Linked DNA regions of Tamandua tetradactyla. The protein of the gene in region 4 purifies or fractionates together with the protein of the main gene of each other region. This does not show direct contact. Links are inferred from orthologs where the notes say so. Each region holds a gene or a part of one and is shown on either strand. Other genes may lie near its edges.

Region 1 (6,977 bases), on a different chromosome or scaffold from region 4:
TCCAGGAAGTAAATACTTCTAAGGCTAGGATGTTAATTTCCCTTAAGCAAGTCTCTTCCACACTTCATTGTGCTTTATCTGCATATCTCGGCTTCTACTGAAGTTCCAGATCCTGAACACTCAAGTCTGAATTTCTTGTGTCTGCAAGCTTTAGGTTAAACATCAGCCTTTTAACTCCTACAAGCACTTACACAGAGTCCAGAATATTTCTTTTCCCACAAATCATAGCGGAAAACCTCAGAATTCAAGGACATTGGGCAGAGTATTCAGCAGGGTTTAGCCTTAGTAATGGGACAAAATTTTACTCTGGTTCCATGAAAAAGCTTAAAAGTAGGACCCGAAAGTATCAAGCTGGTTCAAAGCTACTTAACCATATCTCCAAACAAAACAAAATTTTCAATGTCCAGCATCCAATTAAAAATTGCCTGCCATGCAAAGTAGGAAAATACCACCCATAATTAGAGAAAAGTTAATCAATATAAAATAAACTCAGATGTTAAAATTAGCAGAAAGTGGTAATAAAACTATTATCAGAACTATTTTTCATAGGTTTAAGAGAAATCAAGAATGTTAAATAGAGAAAATGGAAGATCATCCAAACTGATCTTCTAGAGATAAAATTATGATATTTAAGATGTAAAGAACACTGGGTAGAACTAACAAAACATTGCAGGTTGCAGAAGAAAAGCTTAGTGAACTTAAAGACGTAACAGAAATGATCACTTAAAGACATAATAGAAATTATCCACAATGAAGCACACAGAGAAAAAAAAGATTGACAAGAAATGAACAGAACATTTGCTGTGGAACAAATTCAACACGATTGCAATCAGAAAAATATTTGAAGAAATAATGGTTGAAAAATTTCCAAATCTGATTAAGAAAAATTATAAACCCACAGACCAAAGAAGTGTAATGAAACTTAACTATATGAACCAGGAAGAAAATCATACCAAGTCATGGCATAATCAGACTGCTTAAAACTAGTGGTAACGTGAAAATCTTAAAAGCAGACAGGGTGGCATAGGGTGGTATATGGGGGGAAAAAGCAGACAGACATAAAAGATATTACATACAAAGGAATAAATAGAAGAGCAACAGTAGACTTCTTGTCGGAAACAATATAAGCCAGAAAATAGTAAAGCAACATCTTCGTAGCAGGAGAAAGAAAAAGCACACCTTGAAATCCAAATTTAGCAAAAATATCTTTCAAAACAGAAGTAAAATTAAGACTTTTGCAGATAAACAAAACTGAAAGAATTCATCACCAGCAGACCTACACTAGATGATTTGTTAAGGCAAAAGAGAAATGATGCCACATGGAAATCAGAATCTACACAAGGAATTCTAGATGTAGTAACTATGTACTTTTTTCTTATTGTTTAAATCTCTTTTAAAGAGAATTGACTATTTAAAGCAAAAGCAATAGTGAATTACTTGGTGTCTATAACATATGCAGCAGTTGTTTTCATTTTGCAAATGGAAACCCAGTATCACAACTGGAAAAGGAAGAAGACAACAGCACAAAGGCGAGAGCAGGATGGCAATGAACTGTTTGCTGTATTGTTATTATACTCCACATAAAGTGTCATAAAATCACTTGGGGTAGATTACGATAAGACCTATACTATAAATCCTAAAACAATCACTAAAATAATACCACAAAATGTTGTGTCTAATAAGCCAACAATAGAGATAAAATGGAATAATAAAAAGCACTTCTGTTCACTAAAGCCTAGAAGCAATGGCACTGCAGTAGTAACGTGTGTGTATACATCTACATAAAATTGTACACTTAAAATGCATACTTAGCATGCAGATGAAAGCCAAATACGAAAGCAACAAAGTAGCCAAGCCATTGATAAAGAAATATATGCAAAATAATCATAGGAAATTACAGCTCTCGAAATATTTCAGCATGGGCCTTCTCTGATTTAGAAGCAAGGAAATTTATCTGCCAATAGTGTCAGAAGAAAGAATAAAATGAAGAGCCAAATGGCTATTGAGGAAGAGGGAAAGAGGCCTCAGGGAAGGTCTGATGCCAATTTATGTGGAGGATGGAGCCAAATAGACACACATAAAATGTATGTACTGGCATTTTTCTCACAGTAGTTGGCTTAGCCAATGCCTATTTTTAAAATACTTATTATCGAGAAGTATCCACATACATTCAGTCCAACCATATTATACAACCAATGGCTCACAATATCATCACAAAGTTGTGTATACCTCACCATGATCATTTTTAGAACATTTGCATCTCTCCAGGAAAAGAACTAATGAAAGAATTCATACACCTCATATCCCTTACCCCTCCCTCTCATTGACCCATAGTATTTAAATCTACCCAATTTTTATCCTTTATCTCCCCCTATTATTTACTTATTTTTTAATCCTTATTATTATTATTATTTAGTCATCTGTCCATACCCTGGATAAAAGAAGCATCAGACGTGAAGTTCTCATAATCACACTTGCACTGTAAAAGCTATATAGTTATACAACCTTCTTCAAGAATCAGGGTTACTGGAGCACAGTTCAACAGTTTCAAGTACTTCTCCCTAACCACTCCAATACACCATAAACTTAAAACGGATATCTATATAATACATAAGAATAACCTCCAGGATAACCTCTTAATTCTGTCTGAAATCTCTCAGCCACTGAGATTTCGTCTTGTCTCATTTCTCTCTTTCTCCTTTTGGTCAAGAAGCCTTTCTCAATCCCATGATGCTGGGCCCCAGCTCATTTCCAGGAGTCAGGTCCCACGTTGCCAGGGAGAATTACACCCCTGGGATTCATGTCCCATGTAGGGGGGAGGACAGTGAGTCCACCTGCCAAGTGGGCTTAGAGATAGAGTCCACATCTGAGCAATAAAAGAGGCTCTCTTAGGGTGACTCTTATGCATAATCAGTAGGCTTAGCCTCTCCTTTGCTCTCCCTAGGAATAAGCTTCATAGAGGTGAGCCCCAAGATTGAGGGTCCAGCCTATTGAATTGAGCCATGCCTTATTTTAGCGTTTTATATATTTTAAACAAGGCTGGGCCTTATAAGATACGGCCATGCTCAGATGGATCAAACTCCCAAACAAAATTTCCTTTCCAACAAATTACTATCTCTACATTTCCAACAGAGATTTGGAACTGTTTTGTTCTTTAAGCCAAAACATCCAGCCAACGACTTTCTTAACCTCAGAAAGGTATCCCCAGCAGATGGTCAGGAAATGTTTCCTGCCAATAAATAACATTTCCCAAACAGTGGGATTTAAAGGGGCAGTAGTCTAGAGTCTTTCAGGCACTCTTCAGCACCTGCACACCTTAAGTTTCTGACAGTTTTTCACAGATACCCGCTCAGCCTCGTCCAGATAAAGAGCCAAACAGGTTTGGTTCGAAAGGTCCACCTCACAGGAGGTAAACTTGTTTTCCCAATCTCAGGGTTGACTCAGGCATGCAGGACACAGGCAAACACTAGGTGACACGTGAGCCTAACTCCCTCTTAGTTACACATTAACCAAGTCCCGGGGTTTATATAAAGGAAGTCTTTTCTCTGGCTGAGAGCCTCGAATGAAGACAAATACGTCTTCAATGAGGAGGACCATTTTGGCGAAAGACTGTATCTGTTCCCCAGCCTAGGCACTTTGCCTCCTCTGTCCAAAGTTGCTCCTACTGTGCCCTGCCCCGCGTCAGGCTGCAGCGACACCCCAAGCCTGCCCACCCTCGACCCCCCTTCCCCGCCCCTCTAATGCAGGTTTCCTCAGTCGCGCCCATCCAGGCCCCACCCCGACGCTGGTATCGCGCACGTGCTCCTTGTTTTGGTGCCAGAGGGGGGACGCGCGCCCTCGCCCTCGCCCTTTCGGCCCCCACCCCCGCGATCCGCGTGCGCAGGCGCGGCGGTGGGTGGGCGGCCGGGCCTCGAGCTCGCGCGCCTTCTGCTCCGCCGCCTAGTCCTCGCGGCCGCGGCTCCCCGGAGGAGGCGGGGTTCAGCCATGTGCGCCTGCGCGGAGCCGGGCAGTGCGGGCAGAGCCGCAGCCGCGGGGTGGCGGGCGGTTGCCTGGGGACCCGGTTGGGCCCCTCCCTCCTTCCCCGTCCACAGCCTCCTACTACCTTATCCACCGAGACGCAGAGAACCGGCTCCGACCCCTTCCCCTCCCGCCGGCGCGAGCCGGAGCTGCAGCCTGTGACCCCGGGGAGAGGCGGTGCCGCTTCCCAAGATGTCGCAGACCGCCATGTCCGAAACCTACGGTACGAGGCCTGGCCGGAGCCGGGGCGGGCGGGGGGCGAGCAACTTGCAGCCCGCGCCGGGGTCTCGGGGTTCTCGGGGGTGCGCGAGCCCCGCCCCACCTCGTCCAACCCCTTCCCTCCCGGCCCGGGCGCGGGCTGCTGGCGCCCTCCCGCGGGCGGAGGGCAGGTGCGGGCGCCCTGCGCGGGGCGGGGCGCGGGGTCCCGGGTCCCGCGGTGAGAAGCGCATTTACGTGATCTGCTTTTAAAAATTTCCTGTTGCTGCTTCTCCTCGCTGGCACCCTAAACGCTTCTCCTTTCTTACTCTGATTTCAGCAGCTCAGAGGTTTGGGAAGCCAGTTGGAGACTGACTCTCAGCTGCGATATTGACCCCAGCAAGGGATCTGAAGGGCTTAGGGCGACGCTTGCATTTGAGTGTTCCTCAGAAATTCCAGTTTGACCTTTCCTGTTTTTAAATTTCTTTCCTTTGGAATTGCAAAGAGGGGTTACCGACAGAATAATTCCTCTCTCCCTGTGGAAACCTCTTACCTCATTTATTGCTTTCTCTCCTTAGGGTTTTTAACCGCCTCTATTTTGCATTCTGGCTATTTATAAATGTCTTAACTGCTTTTAAAGACTGTAAACATCTGAAAACAGAACCGTATTTAATCTTTGTTTCTCGTACAGCATCCAGAGCTGGAGGTCCTCAGCAAAAAAAATATATATATGTATATGTGTATATATAAAAATTATGAAGGCCCACCCAAGTCATATACTGTTTTGTTTTGTTTTTTAACACCCTGGGCGGTAAGAATAGACAATACCGCATGTTTTTGCTTTGTGTCAGGATTGAATCAGTGTTTACTGTCTCTTGCCAGGCTTTCAGTTGTGTGCATTCTCAGATTAAGACTTTGATTTGGAGTTTTGAAGTTTTGCAGTCCCAGAGAGAGGCTCAGGTTCAAAAGCACTGTGACTACCACAAACCAAATTGATCTTATTTCCATTTGCTCCTGTCAGTGACCATTATTCCAGTCAAAAAATATGTGTAGAACCCACTGTTGTGGAGTATGCTAGGTACTCAGCAGGGAGTAAAGCAGACATGCTCTGGTCTCATGGGCAAGTGGGAAGTACAGTGTTAATTATGACACTAATGAATGAGTAATTAAAAACCCAGGTAAGCGTGCTGAAGCTATGTGGCCTAGGAAAATGTGTTAGAAAGAAATCTGACCTAGGCTGGGACGTCAGGTCAGGGAGTTGTTAACAAGTCACAGCACAGCATGTACCCAGGCCCTGTGAAACTGAATTCCAGTACAGGGCCTGTGATTTGAGTACAGGCAGCTAGGAGAAGAGGGATGAGGCAGAGAAGTAAACCTGGTCCTTGGTGGGGCCGGACTTTGTAGAGGGTTTTGGCCTTTCTCCTAAAAGTGGTGAGAAGTATTTGATGGGTTTAAATAGTGGGGCCAGAGAGGATTTGGCCAACCTTTGATGACTCTTGTGACTGATACTTGACCTGCTCCTTTTGGCACTTGGGGCATGATGCTGTGTTCTTAGAAGGCACAGGAAATCTTCCATGAAGTCACTGGTTTCATAAGTACCAGTGTTGTGGGGGCTGAAAGTGCCACAGTAAAAGACAGCCATGTGGTGTGGTTGTCTCTATACAGATCTACAGTCGAAGGTTTCATAAGGAAAATAAATTTTTCTAGCTATTATTAGTTACACTTTTGCTTCTCTTTATTTTGAAGTTCCCCTTTCCCATCTTTTACCCTTTGATGTAGCTAAGGAGCAGTAGGGAGGGGTGGAAAGTCCAAATAAGAAAACTGGGGGTAGGGTGTTCTTGACTGGAAGAATCCGGGAGATAGTTTTGTATGTTTCATTTTTCTGATTATGAAGCGATAAAATATAACATTGGCATCTGACACCTTCCGATACAGCTAATTGAATTTTTGAGCATCATAGATTAACTGATTAAACTCTGATGGTAAGACTTTGATTATTAGTATTCTTAATTCATAATATCTCCCAAATATTTTTTCACTTTTTACATTCTGAATTTAATCTTTTCCTCATTAGAGAAAATTAGTTTTAGAAAGAGGAAGTGTGGTGGTAGTTGAAGTTGCCCACCTAAAATAAAAGTCCCCAAAACCAAGTACAAAGCTGCCACTTGTCATTGACACATATTTACTTAGCATTGTTACTCAAAAGTAAAACCAATGCCCTCCTGCCTGAAACTTGCCTGCTAGTCTGGTGAAACAATGTTTCCTTAACCTTTAAATTCCTTTATATTCTGTGCTCATTTTCTCCCTTCTGTAAAAGGAGTCTCTATATATCTTGACAGGGGTACTATGCAAAATAAAGAGCCAGTGTTTGCAGTACACAGTCAATTAGACATATATACATGGTGTTTAGCATATTAAAGCAATATTTCACCTTTCATTGACTGAGTAGTATTGAACATTTTGTTGCTCAGGAGCCATTCACCAGGTGAAAGCCTACTTAGTATAATTAGTTACTGAAATCTTAAACTTAGGCAACCTGAAATCTTCATTCTGAATATCCCTTACTTGAGACAAGGTTGTCCCCAATACTGTTAGATTCAGAACATTCTTAAAGCCAATTAGTATTATTTGGAAGTCCCCTTGGACTCCTTAGGAGCTTCACTTTGGCCATCGGAAACCTGGAAGGTCACAAAAATAATTGTGATGCCAAGATTTGTGTTGCAAAACTAACCAGTCAAGTCGGTAGTGTAAGTGATTCTGGGCAG
Region 2 (7,800 bases), on a different chromosome or scaffold from region 4:
AGGGTGGGCCTCCCGGGTTGGTTCAAAAGGTCTTGAGAGAGTGGGGAAAGGAGACAGGGTTTCGGTTTTTACTGTGAACAGTAGGTGGGGTTCAGGTGAGAGTTCCCGCATGTGCACAGCGGCTCCTGTGGTATTAATCTCCCACCGGTGTCAAAGGCGGGAAGGTTCACCCAGGTGGGTTCTTAACAACTCGCCCAGATGGGAAGGGAAAAGAAGGAAGAGGGAGTCCTAAAAGCTGTCAGCAGCCAAACATCAAAAAATGAAGTCAAGCTTTTTATTACAACATCACTTCTTCAAAGTCTGTTGGTGACTACGTCACTTCAGTTCACACAGTGTTCTAGTTTGCTACCTGCTAGAATGCAATATACCAGAAACGGGATGACTTTTAAAAAGGGGAATTTAATAAGTTGCTAGTTTACAGTGCAAAGGCCAAGAAAATGTCCCAATTAAAACAAATCTCTAGAAATATCCAATCTAAGGCATCCAGGGAAAAATACCTTGGTTCCAGAAGGCCGATGAAGTTTAGGGTTTCTCTCGCAAGTGAGAAGGCACATGATTAACACAGTCAGAGTTTATCTCTCATCAGGACGGGCACGTGGTGAACATGGCATCATCTGCTAGCTTCTTCTCCTGATTTCCTATTTCATGAAGCTCCCCGGAAGGCATTTTCCCTTCCGTCTTCATCTCCAAAGGTTGCTGGCTGGTGGACTCTGCTTCTCGTGGCTATGTCGTTCTGCTCTGCTCTCTATGAATCTCTCATTCTCCAAAATGTTTCCTCTTTTATAGGACTCCAGAAACTAATCCAGACCCACCCAAATGGGTGGAGACATGCCTCTACCTAATCCAGTTTAACAACCACTCTTGATTAAATCACATCTCCAGAGAGATGACCTCATTACAGTTTCAAACATACAATGCTGAATAGGGATTAGAAGAAACGGCTGCCTTGACGAAACAGGATTAGGATTAAAACATGGCTTTTCTAGGGAACATACATCATTTCAAACCAGCACAGACAGCAAAGCATGGAGCTGTATTGCCTCCTTATCTCCTGGTGATAAATCCACACATTTTACAAAAACAGATTATCAAAAAAGGAAATTGGCCAACAAAGATGTGGGGGCAGCAAAGAGGCTAAAAGTGATGATGCCTGAAGTGAAACTTGAATCAAATGTAAATGGAGTCAGAAAAGAAGCAGCTGTCCATGGGGATGCTGACATTCTGCTGTTAGAGACTATCTAGATGGGCAGCCAGAAGAACTCAGTGAAAGGAACTTATTGGCATAAAGGAGAAAAGTGGGTGTGATGAGAAGGATGATGACATCCGAGAGGAAAGGGCACCTGCAAGAATTTAATGTTAAATGAATTCTTGGAGAGATTTCATAACATTGAAAACAAGAAGAATAAAATGTTGGAAGTTGATCCAAACTTAAAAAGGAGGATAACAATTTCCCAGGGCAAAGGGGAAATGCTTACTCTGAGCCATAAGTTAAACAGCAAAAAAAGGCTGGCAATATTTAAACTATTTCTCAACACTTTAATTCTCAATGTTTCTGAAGTTTCGAATTACAGTGTCCTAGATAAATATTTTTTCATTTCCTTATACATTTATAATAATCAGACAATTGTCACTCTCTTGCCAAAAAGGTTTAAAAGTCAGGGAACTATCAAAATGTCTTTTGTTGATTTAAGCCCTCTAGCCTCCTATATTCTGGAACAGCTAAAAGGAAAAATCTGAGGATCATATGGTAACCCATGACAAATTCTGGGATCTGTCCTGTAACTACTTGTGGAAGAGTGTTTTGAAAACTATTGTTTTTTTATTGCTTTGCTTTCTATATATACTATGCTATACAATACAAAAAGTTTTTTTTTTAAAGTCAGGTAGTGTGAGACTTTCCACTTCATTTTTCTTTCTCAAGATATGTTTCAACTAATTGAGGCAATGTGCCTTTCCAAGTAAATTTGGTTACTGATTAAAAAAAAAAAAGTCTCCCATTGTATTTAATAAGATTGTTTTGCCTATTTTGAGCTTGCTCGTTCATTTTAGTGGTCCCACGCTACCAAGCAAAGCAAGCCTTCTTTTTACCACTCCCCCCAACCTTGGTAAAAAACAATCCTCCCCTGATTTTCCATGATTCTACTACCTCCAGATTCCTACCTCCTTTCTCTCCCAGGTTGGCTTCTCTTCCTTTCCCTACCTTTTGGGAATTGGCGATCCCCAGATTCTGTCCTTGAGTTTTTGTTTCTTGCTCTCCATATTCTCCTATTCCTGTCCTTTTGTAAAAGTTGCAAACTCTCCGTGGTGATGGTGATGTTAAAGCGATAGTGAAGAAAGGGTGCCTTACCAAGTGTCAGGATTTGGAAAAAAGAAAGCTACAGGAAGGGATTATTTCACAATCCAGATTTAGGACAGAGCCCAAGTTGCTAACTACCTCTACTAATACGGAAATCTATGAAAATTTCATTCATTCATTCAACAAATATTTACTGAATATGTACTGTATTAATCACAGTTCCTCAGAGAAACTGTACCGATAGGATACATATGTATGTGTGTGTAAATATTAAGAGATTTATTACAGGAATTGGTGCGCATGAAGATGATGATTTGGCAAACTCAATTCCGTAGGGCAAGCCACAAGCTGAAGCTGCAGTGAAGGTAAGGTTGGATTCCCCAGGAAAAGTCACAAGTTGGGAATTCTGACGAAGGTGAGTGTGAATTCCTCAGGCAAAGGGGCCGATGAAGTAGAGGTAGAAATTCATCTTTCTGCCTGCTGAAATCCTCAGTTCTCCCTTTAAGGCCTTCAGCTGATTGAATAAAGAGATTCCCTAATTGTCAAAAGCAACCTTCTTTGTTAATTGTAGATGCAATCAGCCATAGATGCAATCAATTGACTACAGATGCTAATCCACCTACAAAATAAATACCCTCACAGTAACAATCAGACACCGCTTGCTTGGCCAAGCAACTGGACACAATAAAAGAGCCAAGGTGACACATGAAATTGACCATCATGTGTTTTATGAAGCAGGCCTAGTTCTAGGGCTGAGCGCATCCTGGAATGACACTGATGATTGGTTTATAACAGCACACACGCATCTTAACTGTGCCCTCTAGTGGTACCAGCTGAACCTCTGCAATTTATTTAACCCATTACCTTCTTAATGGAGGAAATTATAGATTGCTTTAGGGGGGAAGACAGAGCTTTCTTTGTGGCAAGACAATCTTTATCCCCCACAAGGCACACCACATTCATCTGTCTACTAGTACAGGAAGTGCTATCCATTAGTTTGGACCAAATTAACAATCTTGAGATTACTTTTGCAGAGCTGTCTTGCTTCACAAAACAGAAACAGTCCTGAAAAGTTGTGCATAAATCAGGTCCTTTAATTCCTTACACTTGCATAGTGCTTTCTGGTTTATAACAGACTTTACATAGAGCATTAGTTGAGAGTCACCTCCACCACGCCACACAGAGCCCCATGACCCCCATCTCTGACAACCCTAGATTGCTTCCCTATTGAGCAGAAGAGAAACCCACAGCTCGACAAGTTCTGGGATTGTTAGCTAAGGGATGGGGCTGTATATAAAATAATAGCAATCAAATTCTATTTTAAATACCCTAAGAACTATTGAAAAGTTTTCTCTGTGATTGCTTTTGGGAAACTTGAGTTCTCTAATAAAGGCAAACCTACTCCTATTCACTTTGTGGGCAATCTGGAGATTTACAAGTCAGGTTTGGAGAGTAACATACACCAGCACTCTGCATTTACTAAACCCAGTTCTAAATAAAGCTGAGGTTTGGTGGGTAATGTGATCATTCTCGGAAATGTGCCAGCCGGTATCGTATTTAGGACCCTGTGTTCTGAAGGGGCTCAAGTTCATGCTGAGGAATTTGTCAAACAAATCCCTAAGCAAGGCACTGGCGCAGGAATTTTCTGTAACCTGAAATCCTTTCAAACAGAAGTGGCAAAACATACTGCCCGAGTCTATAATTCCTAAACTTTTGGAGTTTAAACTTCTCACCACTGTTGAGTTGTAACTCGCTGGCTTCCCCAAAGGGGCATGACATTTATTTATTTTAAAAGTTAAACAGGATCGAATCTTCTGGATTTTAAAATTCTAACACTTTTTCGAGTGAAGCAGAGATTAGGGTAAAAAATAAGTGATGCTGCCTGTGCCTGTGGCAAAAAAAAAAGGAAAACAAACAGAATAGGGAAAGACAGAGCTCAGGGTGGTCGGCACTTGCAGCTGTAGGTGGCCTTTGCACCCGAGTGTAGACCACAGCCGGGAAGGCGGGCTTGGGGGCTGTCTCGGTGTCCCGGCAGCATGCTAGTTCTGCGGCAGCAATTGGGGAGAAGAAGTCCAAAAGGATAAATTGAGGTGCGGGGGATCGACAGCTTGTCAACCGTGCACAGAAAAGTGAGGAGGGAGGAGGGGGAGGGTGGAAGGGAAAGAAAAGATAAAAGAGCAGACAGAAAGAAAGGAGATGGAAGGTTAGAAAGAGGTAACTGTACAGCTTGAGTAGAAAGGGGACAGGAAGGAGACAAGAAGCAGGACCTGGAGACAAAGAAGCGGAGCCAGTGAGCTGCTCTGGGAGCGCCCGGAAGCCCCGGCCGGCTGGTCCTCCCACCGACAGGGGGCGCCTTGCTTCTGCCAGCCCTCCTGGTCCGGTCCTCCAGCCGGCAGGGGGCGCGCGGCTCCCGCCCGCTCACCCGGGCCGGTCCTCCCGCCGGCAGGAGGCGCTCTGTCCCCGGCCCGCGCCCCCGAGCCGCCCGCCCCGCCCCGCGCCGCCGCCGCCGCCGCCGCTTCCTGCCCCTCCTCGTCCGGGATGCTGCTGCCGCTGCTGCGGGGCGGCTGTTTCCCTTCCTCCTCTCCCGGCGGCGGCGGCGGCGGCGGCGACAGGGGCGCGGGGGCCGGGCCGGCGGCGCAGCTGCAGCGCGGAGCCCGCGGGCCTCCGGAGCCGCTCGAGCAGGCGGACGGCGGGCGCGGGGCCGAGGAGGGGCGCGGGGCGGCGAGCGGCGGCGGGCTGCGGGCCGCGCGGGAGCCGCATGTGTGCATGGATCCGGGCGCCGCGCGGCAGAGGCGGGCCGGGGGCGGCCTGGGCGCGGGCTCCCCGGCGCTGTCGGGCGGCCAGGCCCGCCGGAGGAAGCAGCCGCCCCGGCCGGCCGACTTCAAGCTGCAGGTCATCATCATCGGCTCCCGCGGCGTGGGCAAGACCAGCCTGATGGAGCGCTTCACCGACGACACCTTCTGCGAGGCCTGCAAGTCCACCGTGGGTAAGGCAGGGCCCGCCGCCCCCGACCCTCCTCCAGCGCGCGGGCAGGTGGGCCCTCTCCCCTGCCGGCCCTTCGGGTCTCAGGCCTCGAGCCGGCCGGCGATCTTCGGCCCGCCTCGGCCTCACATCCTCTCCTACCTCAGCCTCCTCGCGCCGGTCCCTCTTCCCCGGTAGGAGCCGACGACGCTTCCCGCAGAGTCCGCCCGCGCGACCTCGTCGTGCGCTGGTCGGGTCCAGCCTCTTGCAAACCCCGGAGCCTTCTTGCTTTGCTCGCCTAGACTAGGAGGGCGAGGTGGGAAGCAGGCGGGCAGCGTGCAGAGAGTAAAGCTAAAGGCCAGCCCGCGCCGCCGTGGCGCCCTGCACAGAGAGGCCGAGGGGGGGGGGTCTTCTGGAGCAAGTTTCGATCTGTAAAATTTGCCTAAGAAGGAGGAGTATTTCCACTGAAAACAGGGCTAACTCGAGAGTGGGGACCAATTTTTATGATGCTCCGAAGCAATGAAGTTAAGAGTTCGCTATGGAGACTCTGTAAGAGACTAGTAAAAATAAAACTATGCTCCAACAGTTTGCTTTGAATGTAAATATGGGCAGAGCGATTTTGTACTTAAACGTGACTTCAGGATAACCCAGTGACTCTCAGAAGTGGGAACAGGGCGTCCAGTACCAGTCAGGCCGGGCGGTACAATATCGTCAGGGTCTGAAAGGAAAAGTGCAGAGAAAGTTTTGTTATGAGGTCGGATGTACAAGACTTGACATTGAGGCTGTCCCTCGGTGTGGGTAACGTTTGTTTCTGTGAAAAACCCCTTAAAAATGTCAAAGCTAGGGGACTGGCGTCGCTGGGATGGTTAAGTGATAATGCGGTTAGGGGATTTACCCCTGGGAGAGCCAAGAAACATGGGATGGTATTTAGATTTGAAATATGAAATTACAAGTATCGTTCCGTGTACTTGTCTGAGGTTCAAAGAGCCCTGGCTGCTTTAATTGGAAGTCCTTATCTCATTTTTGTGCTCCGAAGTTGACCCGAACAACACTTTGTCTTACTTATCTTCGCAGAACTCTTGCTTGGATCTAAATTGACATTTATTATTGTAACCAGCGGTATTTTCAACGGCATGGGTATGTGAGGTTTAAAAAGTGTAGCACAATTTTGAGGTGAACTGGTTTTAAATTGTGGTGTGACAAAGCAATGCAATATTTAAAATGTCTGATTGAAAAATTAAATCCCCAGTTTTGCGATTGTTTTGTTTTCAAGAAATTGTTTCCCTTAATTCTTTCCTTTTTTTGGAATAGATCATTTTGGAAATGTATGCGCTCTCAGAACCCTGTTTATATGTTGTCTGGTGGGGGGGGTCACATTTCATTCCTTTTCCATGAGTATCCCATTACTCAAGCACCATTTGTTGAATTTTTTGTTTGTTTGTTTTTTGGGAAGTGCATGGACCAGGAATCGAACCCGGGTCCCCCACATGGCAGGCTAGAATTCTACCACTGAACTACCCTTGCGCACCCCACCCCCATTTGTTTTTTAAATATTGGCCTTGGAGTCTGAGATTGAAAGTTCATTAGAATAATTCTGTTTCACATACATGATCTTGGATCCTGTAGATTACAGGGAGTTGGTAATCCATCCAGTGAAGTGCACAGTGCTATTTTAGTATGCAACGTAATAAAGTAGGATTAAAAACAATTCAGAATTATCACTCTATTGTAGCGCCCCACTTAAATATATAAAAGTGAGAGGTAATACTGTGATGCAAAGAGGTCAGTATAGGCTTGGTGGATGGAGGTGAAACATGGAGATCAGACAGTTTCTCTGTCTCTCTTTTTTCTTTTTAATTTTTATTGATAAAACAACGTACAAGCACATACATTCTTAAACATCCCATACATAGTGTACAGCCATTGGCTCACAGTATCATCACATAGTTGTATACTGTGTGATGTATACTTTTAAAAACAAACATAAATACATACTCACATGCATGCTCTCCGTGGAGTTTCCTGTGCAGTTGGGTTTATGTCTTGCATATTTTTGTGTCCTCCTAAAGTGCTTGACTCAGTAAATGTTTATTGTGGAATTCAGAGAAAGATGATAACCTCTGTCCTGATCCAGAATACTCAAACAATTTAAGAAAGCTCTCAGTAGACCCCCTTGGATTTCTGCCTCCAGGTTGCTTTTTCCTCCCACCTAACTCACATTTAGTGAGAACCTCCTGTGTGTTGGGTGCTGTGCTACCCACAGGGATTCAGGTATAAATAGCATGCGGTCTCTGTCCAGAAGTGATCCGAACTTGTGGGGAAGTGGATTCCAGGTGTATAAGGACAGTGGCAGGGATGTCGTGGAGATGTGCCACCCATCTGGGGTCAGCTGAGGCCTGGTCAAAGAGGGCTTCCTCCTCCCTGAAATGCTGAGAAGATAAACTCGTTCTTTGAGTTCCTTTAGAAAAAAATGCGCTTTAAGCATGGTGCTGGGTGTGGTGTGGGATTGTGGTTGCCTCACCTGAATGTCATCTTCATAGGGT
Region 3 (8,000 bases), on a different chromosome or scaffold from region 4:
CATATCTACCAAAACATACACACACAAACCTGAGGTGTCATGAAATGGATCTTTCCTGTGAGGCCTTAGCAAATTTTGTTAGCAATGCTGTGGCAAACCTTGTCAGAACCCAGTCAGAAAAGCCCAGGATATAGGACACACCTTGAGACTTGAAGAAAACTCATGCTTCAGGAAGAGGAGGACCACCAACTCTCACCCAACAACTTCAGATCACCTGGGGGTGAGAGTGGGTGACCTGAAAGGTAGATATTGCTGCTAGAAATGTTAACACTCCAAACCTCTGTTTGTGGTTAGGAAAGCCTGTGGAACTTTTCGCCAGAACAGTGTTAACATTCACCTTAATTTCCCAGCTTAATTTCAACTGCAAAGCATTAGGTTTCAGGTATATAAACTCTTCTGCTGTTTGAAGGCAGCATGTTACCACTTCCTATCAGAGTTCTGGGGTTAAATTAAGAGGTATGGGACTTCCCCTCCTCCATGTCAACGAAGACACAGCTCACAGCCTCGCCTTACCACATCTACCTCACAGAAAACATAAAGACCGAGGTCTTACATGAGAGTCACCCCATATAACATCTACCTTCTACTCTATTATAGTTTCAAGACACTGGTTTTCATGCTTTAATAGTTGTAACCCTCCACAGAACTCACATTCCATTTTTAAAAATCCACTCAATAAAGATTCTAAGCCTTCAGAACGAAAAGTACTTTTTAAAGATGCTATTCTAAAAGGAAGCAGACACCCTTATACAGGAAATGTGGAACAAAAATTAAGGCAAAAAAAAAAAAAAAAGAAAAGCTAAAAGAAACAAAAGTTATCCAACGAGCTTATCAGAAATAGCAACATCAAGATTCACTCACTTTCAAGGCAGGAAGATAGTTCAGGAGGGTCACACAAAGAATGGACAACAGGACACCCACTCAACTGGTTAAAAATTGTCCTTTAAGACCAAATGTACTGTAGTTTGCATTCAGCAATGAAAAAGGATTATTTGGGGTTCTGAAATTAGGACCAGCGTCAAAAATTAACACCCTGTAGTTCCTGTAGCAGCTCCCACCAAACATCTTAGGATTATACTTGAGAGATGACATTTAAAACCTGCTTCCTTAGAAAAGAAAAAGTCCCACTCAAGACTGACTGCCAAGAACTTGCAACTGAAACTTCCCTAAGCTCAAATATCAAACAGCCATGAGTTTTCCAACCACCCAATCCATATAAAAATTAAGAGGGCAAAACAAACAAACCATAGCCTTTTCTAATACTTGATTTGAAGAGCACTCTGTACCTAAATATTTTTTTTAAATAAAAATAAATCACCCTTAAAACACACACTTAATACCAAAGCACTAGACCCCTAGAGTATTTCCCAACCCAGAAACTCACGATGAAAATATGCTATAACTACCATTTGAACGATGTCTGGATGAGCTACTTTTAGAGGTCAAAAACATCACCCAGACAAACAAAAAGCTAAGATTCTTAAGGTGCTTAATTGACTGCAACTATTTTGGAGGAAAATGATTAGTTTACTTCTATAGGCAGCTTAAAGCAAGAGTTGATTAACTCTTCAGTTTATTGTTAGAGATCTTGTTACCAAAATACAACCATTTCCAGTACGAAAGTAGGAAGAAAAGCTTGCAGCCAAGATCAGAAAAACTCTTAAGTCAACTGGAAGTAACTGAGGGGTGCATTGCATTTTGTGATTCATTTAGCAAGTAATAATTGGAACCAGTGCAAAATATACAAGGGAGGCAGGGAGAATGTAAGATCAATCAATTCCTTGGCTGAGAAGTTATTAAACATGCAAGCCCAAGAAATAACTGGGAACTGCTGCTTCTCAGGAGAAGGTAGTAAAGGGGTGAACCATATTTTCCTGACCACACCACACCTCAGTATAACCAATTCCCTTACCACCTCTTAATACTCATGGAACAATTTAATGCTCCACAGGCATTATTTCACCATAAATCAATTTTTTGCTCTTTCTCCTGCACTCGATCCAAAGGAAGTAGAGAAAATGATAAGGAGTGTTCCCAGTTACCACAGAAAGTTCTGCATCCTGCTGCTTTCTATTTCCTCTCCCTTTTTCATCTCTATCTTCTCTGCTCAACCTCTTCACCATACATACTATTTCCCTTTCTATCTCAGGCCAGCTCTTCTTTACTTTCTCCACTAAAGTATCCCCCAATCCGTCTCTTGTCTCCTGTACTCTTCTCCCACCTGCAATTTTCTTTGCCCCTTCCCATGACATCTCTGTCCAGGCCTCTTGTGGCCAGAATCCCCTCATCCCTCACCTCCCGACCACTCATCCCCCTTAATCCCCTTCCGATTGTCTGGTTCTCGCCTCTCTCGTCCCTTGTGTCCTCAGTCCCTTGATTTCACTCCCTCCCATTCCCCCAACCCTTCATTTCCCCCTTCACAGTTCCTTCCTCTTTCCTGTCTTTTAATCCATTTTCACACCCACTGTCCCCATCTCTCTCCCCATAAGATTTCCTGCGTCTCCCCACTTTGTCCCTTAGAACCCATTCCTGTCAGCTCAGCCCTATCATTTCCCCCATACCCCTAGTACTTGTTCCTCTGTTTCCCCTTCCCTTCCTTTGCCTCCAAATTCCCCTTCTCTCCACCAGCCCTACGACCCCGCCCGCCGCTCTCTCTCACGCCTTCGCCCTCTTCCAATGCCCTCGAGCCCTACCGTCCCCGGGATCTCCCCGCGGGGGCTCCCAAGCCCCCCGCCCCCTTTCCAGCCCCCTCCCTCCCACCTCCCGTTTCTCACCGCCCGTCCCGGGCCACGGCCCCTCCCTCACCGATAGTGGAGATGAAGGTGGTGTTGAAGGCGTCCTCGGAGAAGCGGAACAGAAGGCAGGTCTTGCCCACCCCCGAGTCGCCGATCAGCAGCAGCTTGAACAGATAATCGTACGTCTTCGCCATCTTCTCGCTCCGGCCCTCTGACCGGAGAGCGTGAGGAGGCGGTGGAGAGAGGCGGGGAGGGGGCCGCGGGCGAGGGGGCGTGCCCGCCGAGCCGCCGCTCGCCCCGCCCCGCGCCCCGCCTCTCCTCTCGAAAAAGGCCTGCGCGCCCCGCCCCGCGCGGCCAATCCACTAGGGCTTCGTCATCACCGCCCGCGCCCCAGGGCTTCATGGGACTTGTAGTTCCGTCGGAGAGCCTCGGGCGTGCCCGGCGCGGGCGGTCGAAGTGGCCCCCGCGAATAACAGAAGATTCACAGTCGGTGGAGTGACCAGTGAACTAGGCGTTTCCACCCGAGCTGGGAAAGGAAATCCCGATTCAGATTCTGCGCTTCCCGCCCGGGGAACTTAACTTCGGGGTTTCTTTGTGTGCGGGGACCTTTCAAATCCAGGACCTCGGAATCTGGAATCCCACCGTACACGCATCTCTTCCGCTTGGTCCCGAAGAGGAGATGCTTTCTTTCCTTTGCGCGTTGTGGCGCAGCCTCTGGGTTATCTGTAGAGTGCATTATCCTGCTTTTCCAGTTCCTGCCCAGCAACACCTCTAAACCCCCTTCCGCAGTCCCGCAGTCAAACGGGGCTCGGAAAGAACGATTTCTGTGCTGACTTGAACCTCACCCACGCCCGTTTCTTCAAGTCACACTGCAAGTCAAATATACTGAGTATTTTAGAGGATCTGCTGCGCAGAACCACCACCACGAGAATGATGGATTTAAAAAAAAAAAAAATCTAGGAACTGACAATGTTAAGACTGTGCTACAGGTCTTTGCCCTTCAAAATTGAAAGCATAATGTGATGCGGAAAGTATGACGGTAGATGTCTTTAGAAAATAAAGTTTGGATTTTTGTCTGGGCTTAGCCTTAACTGCTGTGACAAGTCAGTCACAGAGCCTCTTTGCACCTCGGTTTTGTCATCTGTAAAATTGGTATAAAACGAGTTGCAGCGAAAATTAAATAAATTGCTGAATGTGAAAAGCACTTTGAAACCTGTAAGGCTTATACAGGTATGTTAGCGGTAATTAATGAAGAGGGGAAAACAGCATTTCATTATACTCAATACTCTGTTATTTGCTGTCTTGGACTAATTCTTTAGTTGCTTTGTGGATAAAGTGTTAGAGTCATTTTCATGCACTTGTAGCAGAAACCAAGCCAGATTAGCTGTTCTGGAAGGGGAGTTTACTGGCTCAGGTTGATATGAAAGGGCAAGTGAGCAGCTGAGAAGGTCTGGCGTGCGAACCTTTAACCTGTCAGGACTCTGTCATCTCTCCTCCCTTCTCAATTTTAATTCTAATGTTGCAAATATCGACAGATATAACTCACATAAGCAAAGCTGTTTTTAAGAGGATCAAGGAGTCCTGAAACGAAAAAGTTAAAGAACCACTGACATTTGCCTTAGACATAAGGAAACACCTTCTGGAAAGTTAGAGGAAGTTATTAAAGGAACCAGTAGACTCAACCATTAGTGGAATAAGAACAGCTTGGACAGATAGCTGAACAAGACAACAGGCTTCTCTAAAACACATTTTGAGTGCCTTGTGACTTCATTTATAAGGCCAGAAATATTCCATTCTTAGTCCTGTTGTGGGAGAAGATTACATTGAGTATAGAATCGGCCTTCACCTTCTTTGTGGATGGATTGTGAAATGCATCATTACTAACACTTATTGCTCATATAGTACCCAAAAGGCACTGCTGCTAACCTAATGTCTAATTCTGGGAGTCCACTTGATGGGAACAAAGCTCTAATGAAGTCAAAGTCAAGTTTGATTAATGAGGAGAGATTTTGCCCTCTGGTACAGGCTGAGCTTCTTTGTTCCAGCCAGTCCTTGAGCACGTCTGTGAACTGCCCTCCGCCAGGGTCTAAACAAGCGTGTACAGCTTAGTTCACGTTCATCCTCATTCCTGAAAAAGAAGGGAAAAAAATCTTCAAAGATCGCTGGAATCTTCTTTCTCTTTTAAAATGTGTACTTATTAAAATAACTTTCAGTCCCACCATCTGCACACAACTCTTGGTATTCTCTTTCTGTATGAATAAGAACACACTGAAGTGATAAAGAACTTAAATTCTGAAAAATCAGAGTTAGGAATTTTAAAGTCCCTAAATTTCCTTAGGGAAATTTTGTTAATTAATGGGAATCTTTTAAAAAATAGTTCTGTCTTATTTTCACTTCCCCATTTTCTCTATTACCAAGTGTATAAAATACTGCTATTCTATCTGGTAAGTTCGGGCACCATTGTTGAACCAGTCAAGTATTTTGGTATATTGACATTAATTCAAGGATGATCAGAGTTTTTTTTCCTCTTGGTACATTATTGATTTTTCAATAGTATGTTATTTAGGGATCAGATTCTGGTGGTAGTAACAGAGTACTAATTGAGTCAAGGTACTTTGCTCAAAGAACTGGACAAAAAGTGGATTTGTAAACCTAAGAGTACCACAGGTGATAGGTTGTTGCCGTTGTCCCTTCTTTCCTCAAGTGATACCAGTTAACTCCTTTCTAAAAATCTACATTTTTGTGTTCTAAGGAAACCACATCAACACTTTTGCCAGTTGCCACAGCCTAGCCCAGAAGTGCTACAATCACTGCACCAGGCAGCTTGCACATTCTGTTTGATTCAGTAAATATGTATTGAAGCCTTCTATGAGACTAACACTTATATGTACATGATAGCATGGTTACAGAAATCTAGAAGTCCAAGCAGTTTACCCTCTGCGGTTTTTGTTAGGCCATCACTCTTTCCTTCTTTTTTGAAGTTGTCTCCTCTCCGCCCCTCACCCCCGATGGCTTTGAATCATGATACCTCAATTCCTCCAGGATAAAGAAGTAAGCTTGTGACACAGGCTGGGTCAATCTGAGTTCTCTGTGAATTTTCTAAGGAGGTAGGGTCATAGTGCTCAAAGGAGGTCTGTCTGGTTAGTGTCTCTGTGAGCTTCAGACTGGGTTTGATCAGAGCCTGAATTCATTTTCCTGTATTATCTTGTTCTTGCCTTCCTTTAGGTATTTACCTTGTCCTCAGGCTGGCTTTACTCATGGTAGCAAGCAGTTCAGGCATGTTGCACAATTCCAAAGGCATATCTTCCTCATGGATCATAGATCCCAAAAAAATCAACCAACATCTTCTTGAGAGTCTGTTTTCTGTACAAATTTTCAAATTAAAATAGGCATTTTAAATTGGTTTAACTTGCTTCATGACACTTGAATGCAAGAAACATCATCTTTCTTAATTGCTTAAATTACATTTGGTCAAGATTCCCTTTTTCTCAAGAGTTGGCAAAACCATTATCAGCCATTGTTGAGACTTTCCCTTCCCTAATTGTATCCTATAAGAATCCAGGAGCTTACATAGTCCTGAAAATTAGGGGCAAATCAGTCTTTATCAGTCTGCTCTGGCCAGTGTAGATGCTTCTGCTCAACCACTCTTGGATTCTGGTTCTCTATTAGCTATTGAGCACAGCTGTCCCGGGGCTACAAGGCTGTACTTCTCCATGGTTATCTTAACTGATGATGGCTCAGCTTTTTAGTAAATTCTCTCTGTGTTATGTAATAGTTTGTGTACCTCTTTGTCTTCTTCCTTGAAACTTGAGTTCTTTGAGGAAAGGGACATTGCTCATTTCCTGCTCTGTCCCCAGCATGCCTAGCATGGTGCCTTTTCTAACACATAGTAGGCACTCAATTAAATTGTTGAATGAATGAATGAATGAAGGAAGGAACATCTAACTAACTGCCAGCACTCTAGTTATTTAAATAACCTCTTTAGTTTATTGTTTGCTGTGCTAGTTTGAAACTGTTAAGGTACTCCAGAAAAGCCATGTTCTTTTAATACTAATGCAATCTTGTGGGGGCAGACCTACTGTAGAGTGAGACCTCTTGATTAGGTTGTCTCCATGGAGATATGACACACTTAATTGTGGGTGTGACCTTTTGCTTAGATGGATATGTGACCCTATCTGTTCAAGGTAGGTCTTGGTTAGTTTACTGAAGTCCTTTTAAGAGAGGAACATTTTGAAGAAAGCTCAGCTGCAGATGTTTGGAGATGCTTGGAGACAGACAGAAGCTAACAGAGGTAGCCCCTGGAACCAGAAGTTGATAGCAATGAGACCCATGAGCAAAGGGCTAGCAGACCTTGCCATGTGCCTTCCCATGTGACAGAGAAACCCTGGATGGGAATTGGCCTTTCTTGAGTGAAAGTATCCTCTTGTTGAGGCTTTAATTTGGACATTTTCATGGCTTTAGCACTTTAAATTTGTATCCTAATAAATCCCCTTTGGAAAAGTCAATCCATTTCTGGTATATTGCATTCTGGCAGCATTAGCAAACCAAAACTTTTCCTATAAGACCTAAATATTTGTGGCCTTACCAATACCTTTCTGATTATACTCTACATTGTATTTCGATGTAATGCATTCTGCAAGTATTCTATTCATTGCTGTGCTTAAGACATCAGTGTGATTATATGTTATTTCTGTAGCTTATCAAGATGCTATTGAATGATAAGCCCTGAAAAATACCAGTTTCTTTTATCACCTGAGTGTCATCCAAAAGTATACCATTTATTTAGTGATATTCCAGTGGGATAATTCTCTAATTATCTTCCTCAGAAAGGGACAAACTGTACTTTTCCCGCCCACTGATATTTCCTGAACAATTACCGGGTGAATAATGTCCACTCAAACAGTCATTAAGCTTACTCTGTGGAAACTAGCTTAGCAAGGGCACCTGGAAAATAGAGAAAACTATCATGTTGTCCCTGTCCTCAGTTTGCTTCCCAGCTATAAACAAGAGAGCCCACAGGGAAAAATTCCAGACAAATGAAGGCAAATATTTGACTGGTACCGATAGCATTTATTCTGATAAGTTAGGTGTCTATTCTGATTGGCTGGACTTCCATTCCAATTGGTCTGGCATCCTTTCTGATTGTTTGGGTATCCATTTTATTATTTGGTTGGGCATACATTCTGATTGGCCAGCTTTCCCATCTGATTGGTCAAATGCTCATGTCATACTGGTTGTTAAGTATATTGCATATCGTCACTGGGT
Region 4 (7,661 bases):
AGGGCGGCCTGCTGGGCCACGGTTCAGGAGTCAGATCCCAGTACCATGCTGGGCTTGCCAGGGATCCAGATATGAGCTGGGTGTGGGTCCTGCTGGGGACAGCCTGTCACAGCTGGGAGCTGCTAACAGCAGGTGGCAGGGTCTTGAGCTGGACTCTGCAGCCTGGGGAGAAGGTGGGTCGGGATTGTGATCAGGTTCCTGCATTGGTCCCAGAGAGCCACCTAGTTGGAGTTTGCCGGCTCCATGATAGGGATAGTGGGAAAGGACAGTAAGCCTTGAGTATGGGCTGTGGAGAGGTGGAGAGGCAGGAGTTGTGGGAGAAGGGCCAGCCCCACGTTGGGGAGGGTGCAGGAAGGCCAGCTGTTTGGGACCCAGGGCCAGGGCTGCCCCAAGGAGGGGCTCTAACTCTCTTGTCTTTTCCCAAGAAGGGGCTCTAACTCTTTTGTCTCTTCCTAAGAGGGGGCGCTAACTGTCTTGTCTGTTTGATAGCTCTGGACTGATGGCTCCAAAGGAAGTCCTCACAGGCAATGGTGAGTGGCACTGGGGACAGGTGCCCCTTCTGTGACACCCCTCGCTGGCTTTATCCAGCCTTGGACCCAACTGGTGCCAGGACTGCCAAGAGCAGGCTGGCAGAGACGGTGCAGCAGTGCCTCAGCTTCTTGTGCTCAGTGGGGCCCCAGCCCACTAGTAGCAGCTTTCAGGACACTGCATGTGGTGCCCAGGCCTCAATGCTCACTAGCCGGGGCTCTGCCTGGCAGTTGGGTCATGAGGCCAAGGAGCCTCTGTGTGCTGTCTTTGAGTGTCTTTGAAGAGAGCTGTTTGGGCAGAGCCAATGCAGTTTTTTGTTTTTTTTTAATGCTGGGGTTTTATATTTAATAGACCAATAATGTTTCGAAAAGCAATTTTGAATACATGTAGATTCTTATTCCACTGAGTGGCCCAGGACTACTCTAGTTCCAGGGGAGGCTGGAGAGAACCTGGGAAATAGCTGCCATTGGCAGGGATCATGGGTGGCTCGTGAAAATGCCAGGTGAGAGGGGTGATAGGGAACAGGCTCCCTAAAGGGATTTCAGTCCCCCACCACAGGTGACAGACCAATTGCAGGGAAGGGGGCACTTCACAGTGGAGACATCTGGTGGGCCCCACTGCCATCCAGTGACCCAACTGAGCCTCATCAGTAGGGGGACCACCTGACAGCACATGTTCCTTGGTGTGAGGTGGCCGAGTGATGTATCAACACCTCTGCAGCCTGGAACTTTCCAGTGGGGCTGGAGATGTTTCACAGCCTGGTTGGGGGGGGAAGTAGTTCTCTGAACGGGGCAGCTGTGTGACCTGCTTCTCTGCTCTCCCCACCTCCCCCCAGACGAGGTCATAGGGCAGGTACTGAGCATGCTCCAGTCGGAAGACGTCCCGTACACAGCAGCCCTCACGGCCATCCGCCCTTCCCGGGTACGTGCCCTCTTCCTGTGAGGAGAACCCGGGCTCCCGGAGAGTCCAGTGTCAAGGGAACTTTGGGTAAAGGCTATGTGTGGAGCATCTTTGTGGGGGGGGGCGTTGAAGAGTAAGGTTCTAGTCCTTCCTCCTCTAGCCAGTGGTCTTTAATCTTGCCCTCTGAACCTTACGAGTTAGCACACTATGAAAATAAGCAGAGTGCTTCCTACATTTAGGGGATTATGGATATGAGCAAGGCTCGAGGGGTGGCTGGAGGAGAGCCCTTTGCCTCCATCCAGTGGGGCTTTGAGGCAGTGGAGAGCATTGCCCTGTAGGGAGAGGGTGGGCAGGAGAGTCGGAGCTTGGTTCCAGGCTGTTGAGAAGTGGCCTGTTGGGTGTTTCCACAGGTGGCCCGGGATGTGGAAGTGGTCTCTGGGGGGCTCGGTCGCCAGCTGCTACAAAGGCAGATGCTGCCAGAAGTGCCCCATCACCCCGTGAGTTACAATGACACAGCTCCCCGGATCCTATTCTGGGCCCAGAACTTCTCTGTGTCATACAGGGACCACTCAGAGGACCTGACCTCCCTCACCTTTGGCCAGGATCTCAACCTGACCGGCTCCTTCTGGAATGATACTTATGCTGGGTAAGGGGACTCTGGCTGGGGAGGAACCGTGGCACCCGAGGCGATAGGCCTGCCCAAGGCGGGGCTGTGTGCCGGAGGCAAGCGTGGCTGTGGTTGCTGTGGGGTGTGGTAGCTGTGGGGATGTGGGGAGCTGGGGGGTGCTCCAAGTTCTACCACCTCAGGGCTTTCTGTTCCCCAGTTTGGACCTTTGTTTATACTTTTCCTGTCACCTGGGACCTATGCCTTCCCCTTGAGCAGAGCCTTTTGGAGTGAACACGGGCAGGTACCAGGCCCTGTTCTGGGTCTCACGCATACTTCCTGTGTGGCTAGAGAGACTGCCACCCTTTGTTTGATTCTACCCCACCTGCCAAGTCCAGCCCAGACACATCAGCAGCCCCAAGGTGGAGCCGAAAGGAGGAGGAGGGGATCACTGTATTCCAGGCCACCTGAGGAAAGAACTCAAAACTGGAGTTGGGAGACCTGGGTTATGGCCCCAGCTCTATTCTTGACTTGGAGTGTGATGGGGGGAAAGTCTCTCTCACTCTCTGGGCCTCAGTTTTCCCATCTGTATGGTGGGCAGCATGACCTCTTGGGCTGACTCTGATGCCCTGGGGGCAGCTTAGGTGGGAGGAGGCCCTATCTGTGCCTGACCCCATACCTTCGACTGTGATTCTCAGGCTCGCACTGACCTATGAGCAGCTCTTTGGTACCATGGTGACCTTCAAGTAAGTCCTGTGGGGGTGCCAGAGGTGTGGGCAGGCTGGGATGGCCCGGCTCCCAGCACGCCTGACTACCCTGGGCCCTCCCCCAGGTTCATTCTGGCTAACCGCTTCTACCCGGTGTCGGCCCGGTACTGGTTTACCCTGGAGCGCCTGGAAATCCACAGCAATGGCTCCATCATCTACTTCAATGCCTCCCAGGTCACCGGGCCCAGCAACTACTCTTTCCACTGCCAGTACGTCAGCAGCCTCCCCGAGAACGGCAATCTCCTTGTGCCCCGTACTCAGCCCTCACTCTGGGACCTGACTTTCCAGGACTTCCAGGTATGAATAGGGGCAGGGCCGAGCTGGATTGGGGGTATCGGGGCCACGGCAAGGGGTGTGGTGGCAGAGGCCTTGTCCAGGGTGGGATGGGGGAAGAGGCTGGGAGGTCCCAGCACAGTTTCTGACTTGCGTCCTGCTCCTGCCCCAGATCCAGGCCTTCAACGTGACGGGTGAGCGGTTCTCCTATGCCAGCGACTGTGCAGGCTTCTTCTCGCCGGGCATCTGGATGGGCCTCCTCACCTCCCTGGCCATGCTCTTCATCTTTACTTACGGCCTGCACATGCTCCTCAGCCTCAAGACCATGGACCGCTTTGATGACCACAAGGGCCCCTCCATCTCCCTCACCCAGATCGTGTGACCCCTGCATGGAGCCCCAGCTGCCCACAACCTGTCTTGCCCCCTCTACTCTGCAGCCCCTGAGGGGCTTCCCAGGGGAGGCCCCCTCCCTGCTCCAACCCCCAAGGTGTTCATATTCTGGATCTTAGACAAATCTCCTGGGTTCCCTCAGTGTGAGGGGAGGGAAGTTCTAGGGACCCGTTCCTTCCCCCTCTTTTCTCCTTATTTATTCCCGTCTGGCCAACACCACCTTTTGCTGTTTATAGTGCTTTTGTGTCGCAGACAACGCTCCCAGGCTGAATGGGGCTCCCTGAATGTGGGGGCCTCAGCCGTGCTCTTTTATTGTTTGTCTTGCTTGGCCGTCCTGCTAGGATACATTGTTTGGTGATGTCGTGTTAAAAATAAGTAGTACACCGGGGTTTCTGTCTGTGGTTTCGGAAGGCAGGAGCCTCCATGGCGGGTGGTTTGGGTGCGATCACTGGACATCTGGCATTTCCCCAGCAGGAGTGCCTGGCGCAGAAGCCCTGGGTACTCAGTTGTGTTTCCTTCATTAAAATAAAAATGGGTCGCCTTGCTTTGGGCCTCCGCTTCCTCATTTCCCCGCTGAGCAGAAGGGATGCGCTTGGCCGCGGACCGTGCGGGCTGTGGGAGAAGGGGCCCGGATGTGGGCAAGCCGCGCGGCGCGGGGGCGGGACGGGGGCCGAGAGGAGCAGGCCGACAGGTGGACAGGCCTCGCGGGGGTGGGGACCCTAGCCGGTTAGGGTACGAGGGGGAGGAAGGCCGCCTGGACCCTGACCACGTCACCCACCCCCCCCAACCCCGAGGAAAACACAACTCGTGCCCCCCACCCATCCTCCCCGCCCCGGCGGGGGCCACCGCAGCAGCGCGCACCCGCGAACGCCGGCCCGAACGGCGCGGGGGCGCGCGCGAGCCTCCCGGGGGGCGGGGCGGGGCGGGGCGGGGCGCGCGGCTCCTGCGCACGGATCCCGATCGGAGCCGCAGCACCGGCCGCCCCGCCCGCGCGTCCCTGCCCCGCCCTCCACGGGGGCCTTCCGCTCCGCGGACGCGCCCGGGGAGCTGCGCTAGGGTTATGGTCCGGGACCCCGACAGCCGGGCCGGGGACCGCACGAGGGACGGCGTGCCCGCCCGGGGGCGGGGCAGGGGCGGGGAGCGGCCGGGACTCTTTGACGCCGCGGAGGGGTCGTGCGGCTGACAGCCGTGCCGCCATCTTTGGTCCAGTGCGGCGGCGGCGGCGGCGGCGGCGGCTGAGGTGAGGGAGGAGGAGGAGGAGCCGGCGCTGACACCGAGGGCTGAGCCATGGACGAGGAATACGACGTGATCGTGCTGGGCACCGGCCTCACCGTGAGTCGGCGTCGGGGCCTGCCGGCTCCCAGGCGGGCGTCCCCCGCGATGATGCGGCTCCCGGTCGCCCCCTTCCCGGTCCCGTTCCCCGACGCCGCCTGCGCTCGTCGTTTTCCGAAGGGACACCTCGGTGTCCATCCCACGACGGCGCCCACCCCCATCGCGGGGGTGCCGTCGCCTCTAAAGGGCCCCTCCAGCCCGGCCGCCCCCGCGCCGCGTCCCCGGCCTTCTTCCCCTCCCTTCGCCCCCCCGGGAAACGCAGCCCACCCGGGCGATATCCTCTCCCACCTTGCCTGATTCCGGCGGGGGGATGAAGTGCTGGCCAGGGTAGCCCCCGCATAACCTGTCTTCCTCGCGTCTCCTGGGGCCAGGGAGTCCAGGGAATGTTCCAGAAGAAGCTGGAGTGGGGGCAGCACCCCCCTTCCCGCTCTCCCACCCCGGTTTCCCATGGAGACTAGGGCTGAGGAGGATCCGCAGCCTTTGTCCTTGGGTTGGGGACACGGATTGGCGCGGATGTTTATCTCCCCCCTCTTCCCCAGCACCCAGTGGGCCGGCTTCCCAGATGGATTCATGGCCCCCAGTCCGTGGCCCAGAAGGGTCAGGGTCAGGGTCTGAAAAAAGAGCAGCCCAGGCAGGGGTGGCAATGAGCCGAGCCTTTCCTCACTTCCCTTCCGGGGAGGGGGCCCTTCGTGGTCCCACTAGCTCTTCTCTCCATCTCCTCTGTGGCGGGTTGTGTCATATTGTCCTGGCCCTGCATAGACAGAAGACTTTCTTGGCCGGCTAGTGGCTGTCCACGTATCTGCTGGATGCCCTCCTTCTCCCTCAGGCCCTGAGTTAATTCTTTCCTTATTGCCCTTTTGGCCCCACAAGGTGGTGACAAAGGAGACTGGAGCCAGGTGACCTATCACCCCCACTTTTAGGATAAGCGACTAACCTGGGAAGGTGTCATGGGAAGAGCCATCCACCCCAGCAGGACCCTTCCCCGGGGTTGGCTCTCCTTTCAGGCGTGGGGATGGGAAACAGCCAGGGCTGCTGGTGGGCACGTGGGCAGGTGGCCTCTTCTTGCAGGAATGTATCCTGTCTGGGATCATGTCTGTGAACGGGAAGAAGGTGCTGCACATGGACCGGAACCCCTACTACGGGGGTGAGAGCTCCTCCATCACACCCTTGGAGGAGGTGAGGCGTGGCCCAGGCCTGGGCGAGACTCCTGCTTAACTTTGCCGTGCGGCTCGAGGCCGTACCTCACATTCTCTGGGCCACTGGGGTTGGGGGTTAGGGAGGGAGGGGACAGGCCTCAAGGTATCTCTCTCTTTCTTGCTTGCAGCTATATAAGCGTTTTCAATTCGAGGAGGGACCCCCTGAATCAATGGGCCGGGGCCGAGACTGGAATGTTGACCTGATCCCGAAATTTCTCATGGCCAATGGTGAGGAAGATGATGGAGGAATGGGGGTGAGGGTGATTAGGAGGACCAGAGGAAGAGCAGTCAGGCTGGAGGATGAGGAGGGATTCCCCCCCCCCACCTTGCTCTTCTCTCCCTACCCACCCCCCAGGGCAGCTGGTGAAGATGCTGTTGTATACTGAGGTGACTCGCTACCTGGACTTTAAGGTTGTTGAGGGCAGCTTTGTCTACAAGGGGGGCAAGATCTACAAAGTGCCGTCCACTGAGACCGAGGCCTTGGCTTCCAGTGAGTGTGATTGCCTTGGGCCAGGGAACAATGCCGGTGAGATGGGCGTTCTCTATATGGGTAGAAGTTGATTGACAAGAATAGGGAGTGCCTGGCCGGCCTTAGGCTGCATTCTGTAGGCAGTAGTGTACTCAAGGCCCCTTGCTCTGTCATCCCTCACTGCCCTTCTCACGATTCCTCAGGCTCAACATTGGAAGGGAAGTCAGACACGGAGGCTGGGTGGAGAGGAGACTCCCTGGGAGAAACTTCAGCCTTTGAAATAGTCTCTATTTGACCCAGGAACCCTAAGTGTGGTAACAGGGAGGGCCCTTAAAGTCTGTCCCACTCAACCCCCTTTTGTACAGATGGGGAAACCGAGGCTGAGAGGGGTAGAGAGCTTAATCTAAGGTCCCACAGCTTCAGTGCCAGTACTCCTCCAGGAGCGGGTTCCTGGCTGCTGGCTCTACCGCGGGGGAAAGAGGAGCTTTACTTTCAATGCCTAGTGCATCTTATTATAATGTTTCCCGCAGATCTGATGGGCATGTTTGAGAAGCGGCGCTTCCGCAAGTTCTTGGTGTTTGTGGCAAATTTTGATGAGAACGACCCCAAGACCTTTGAAGGGGTCGACCCTCAGACCACCAGCATGCGTGACGTCTACCGAAAGTTTGACTTGGGCCAGGATGTCATTGACTTCACTGGCCACGCCCTGGCGCTCTATCGCACTGATGAGTGAGGGGAAGCTGGGACAGGGCGCAGGGCTTCCTTTCTGTGGCAGCAGGAACATCCCTGGATGTTCTGTACCCCCATGCCAGCCTGTTCCTCTCTCTATTCACTCCTCCCACCTCTTCTATATCCCTCACATACTCAGCCTGCTGTCCTTCCCTCCCATCCCTGGATTTGACCCATATTTTTTCCCCAGACCATCTAGGGTGGTAGGGAGGATGACCTGGTGCCTGGGTTTGGGTAAGCTGGGGGTTCTCCTGTCTTAAGTATTCCCTCCCCTGTCCCCTCAGCTACCTGGACCAACCCTGTCTTGAGACCATCAACCGCATCAAATTGTACAGCGAGTCCCTGGCCCGGTATGGCAAGAGCCCCTATTTGTACCCACTCTATGGCCTTGGTGAGCTGCCCCAGGGATTCGCAAGGTGAGGCATAGCTTTCTTTAGTCGGTATTAGCAGGTAGGACTTCAGCGTTTCTGTAG

Evidence for each region.
Region 1: the proteins of GDI1 (region 4) and RAB4A purify together in Homo sapiens (co-immunoprecipitation; 4 studies listed by BioGRID and IntAct, counting the BioPlex papers as one, with this or other methods). This does not show direct contact. The link is inferred for Tamandua tetradactyla from reciprocal best matches to the Homo sapiens genes GDI1 and RAB4A.
Region 2: the proteins of GDI1 (region 4) and RAB12 purify together in Homo sapiens (co-immunoprecipitation; 4 studies listed by BioGRID and IntAct, counting the BioPlex papers as one, with this or other methods). This does not show direct contact. The link is inferred for Tamandua tetradactyla from reciprocal best matches to the Homo sapiens genes GDI1 and RAB12.
Region 3: the proteins of GDI1 (region 4) and RAB8B purify together in Homo sapiens (affinity purification with mass spectrometry; 3 studies listed by BioGRID and IntAct, counting the BioPlex papers as one, with this or other methods). This does not show direct contact. The link is inferred for Tamandua tetradactyla from reciprocal best matches to the Homo sapiens genes GDI1 and RAB8B.

The regions. Positions count from the first base shown.
Region 1 is NC_135328.1:153,603,660-153,610,636, forward strand, and holds the start of RAB4A (ras-related protein Rab-4A), read left to right. Parts: upstream 1-3,965; 5' UTR 3,966-4,209; coding exon 4,210-4,240; intron 4,241-6,977. UniProt on the Homo sapiens protein: The small GTPases Rab are key regulators of intracellular membrane trafficking, from the formation of transport vesicles to their fusion with membranes.
Region 2 is NC_135344.1:72,013,794-72,021,593, forward strand, and holds the start of RAB12 (ras-related protein Rab-12), read left to right. Parts: upstream 1-4,796; 5' UTR 4,797-4,834; coding exon 4,835-5,282; intron 5,283-7,800. UniProt on the Homo sapiens protein: The small GTPases Rab are key regulators of intracellular membrane trafficking, from the formation of transport vesicles to their fusion with membranes.
Region 3 is NC_135340.1:79,512,086-79,520,085, reverse strand, and holds the start of RAB8B (ras-related protein Rab-8B), read right to left. Parts: upstream 3,018-8,000; 5' UTR 2,930-3,017; coding exon 2,806-2,929; intron 1-2,805. UniProt on the Homo sapiens protein: The small GTPases Rab are key regulators of intracellular membrane trafficking, from the formation of transport vesicles to their fusion with membranes.
Region 4 is NC_135353.1:6,666,735-6,674,395, forward strand, and holds the start of GDI1 (rab GDP dissociation inhibitor alpha), read left to right. Parts: upstream 1-4,652; 5' UTR 4,653-4,749; coding exon 4,750-4,794; intron 4,795-5,862; coding exon 5,863-5,970; intron 5,971-6,118; coding exon 6,119-6,218; intron 6,219-6,345; coding exon 6,346-6,480; intron 6,481-6,989; coding exon 6,990-7,188; intron 7,189-7,472; coding exon 7,473-7,604; intron 7,605-7,661. Other genes in the region: ATP6AP1 (V-type proton ATPase subunit S1), read left to right, coding at 490-530, 1,364-1,449, 1,839-2,074, 2,731-2,778, 2,865-3,096, 3,245-3,454. UniProt on the Homo sapiens protein: Regulates the GDP/GTP exchange reaction of most Rab proteins by inhibiting the dissociation of GDP from them, and the subsequent binding of GTP to them. Promotes the dissociation of GDP-bound Rab proteins from the membrane and inhibits their activation.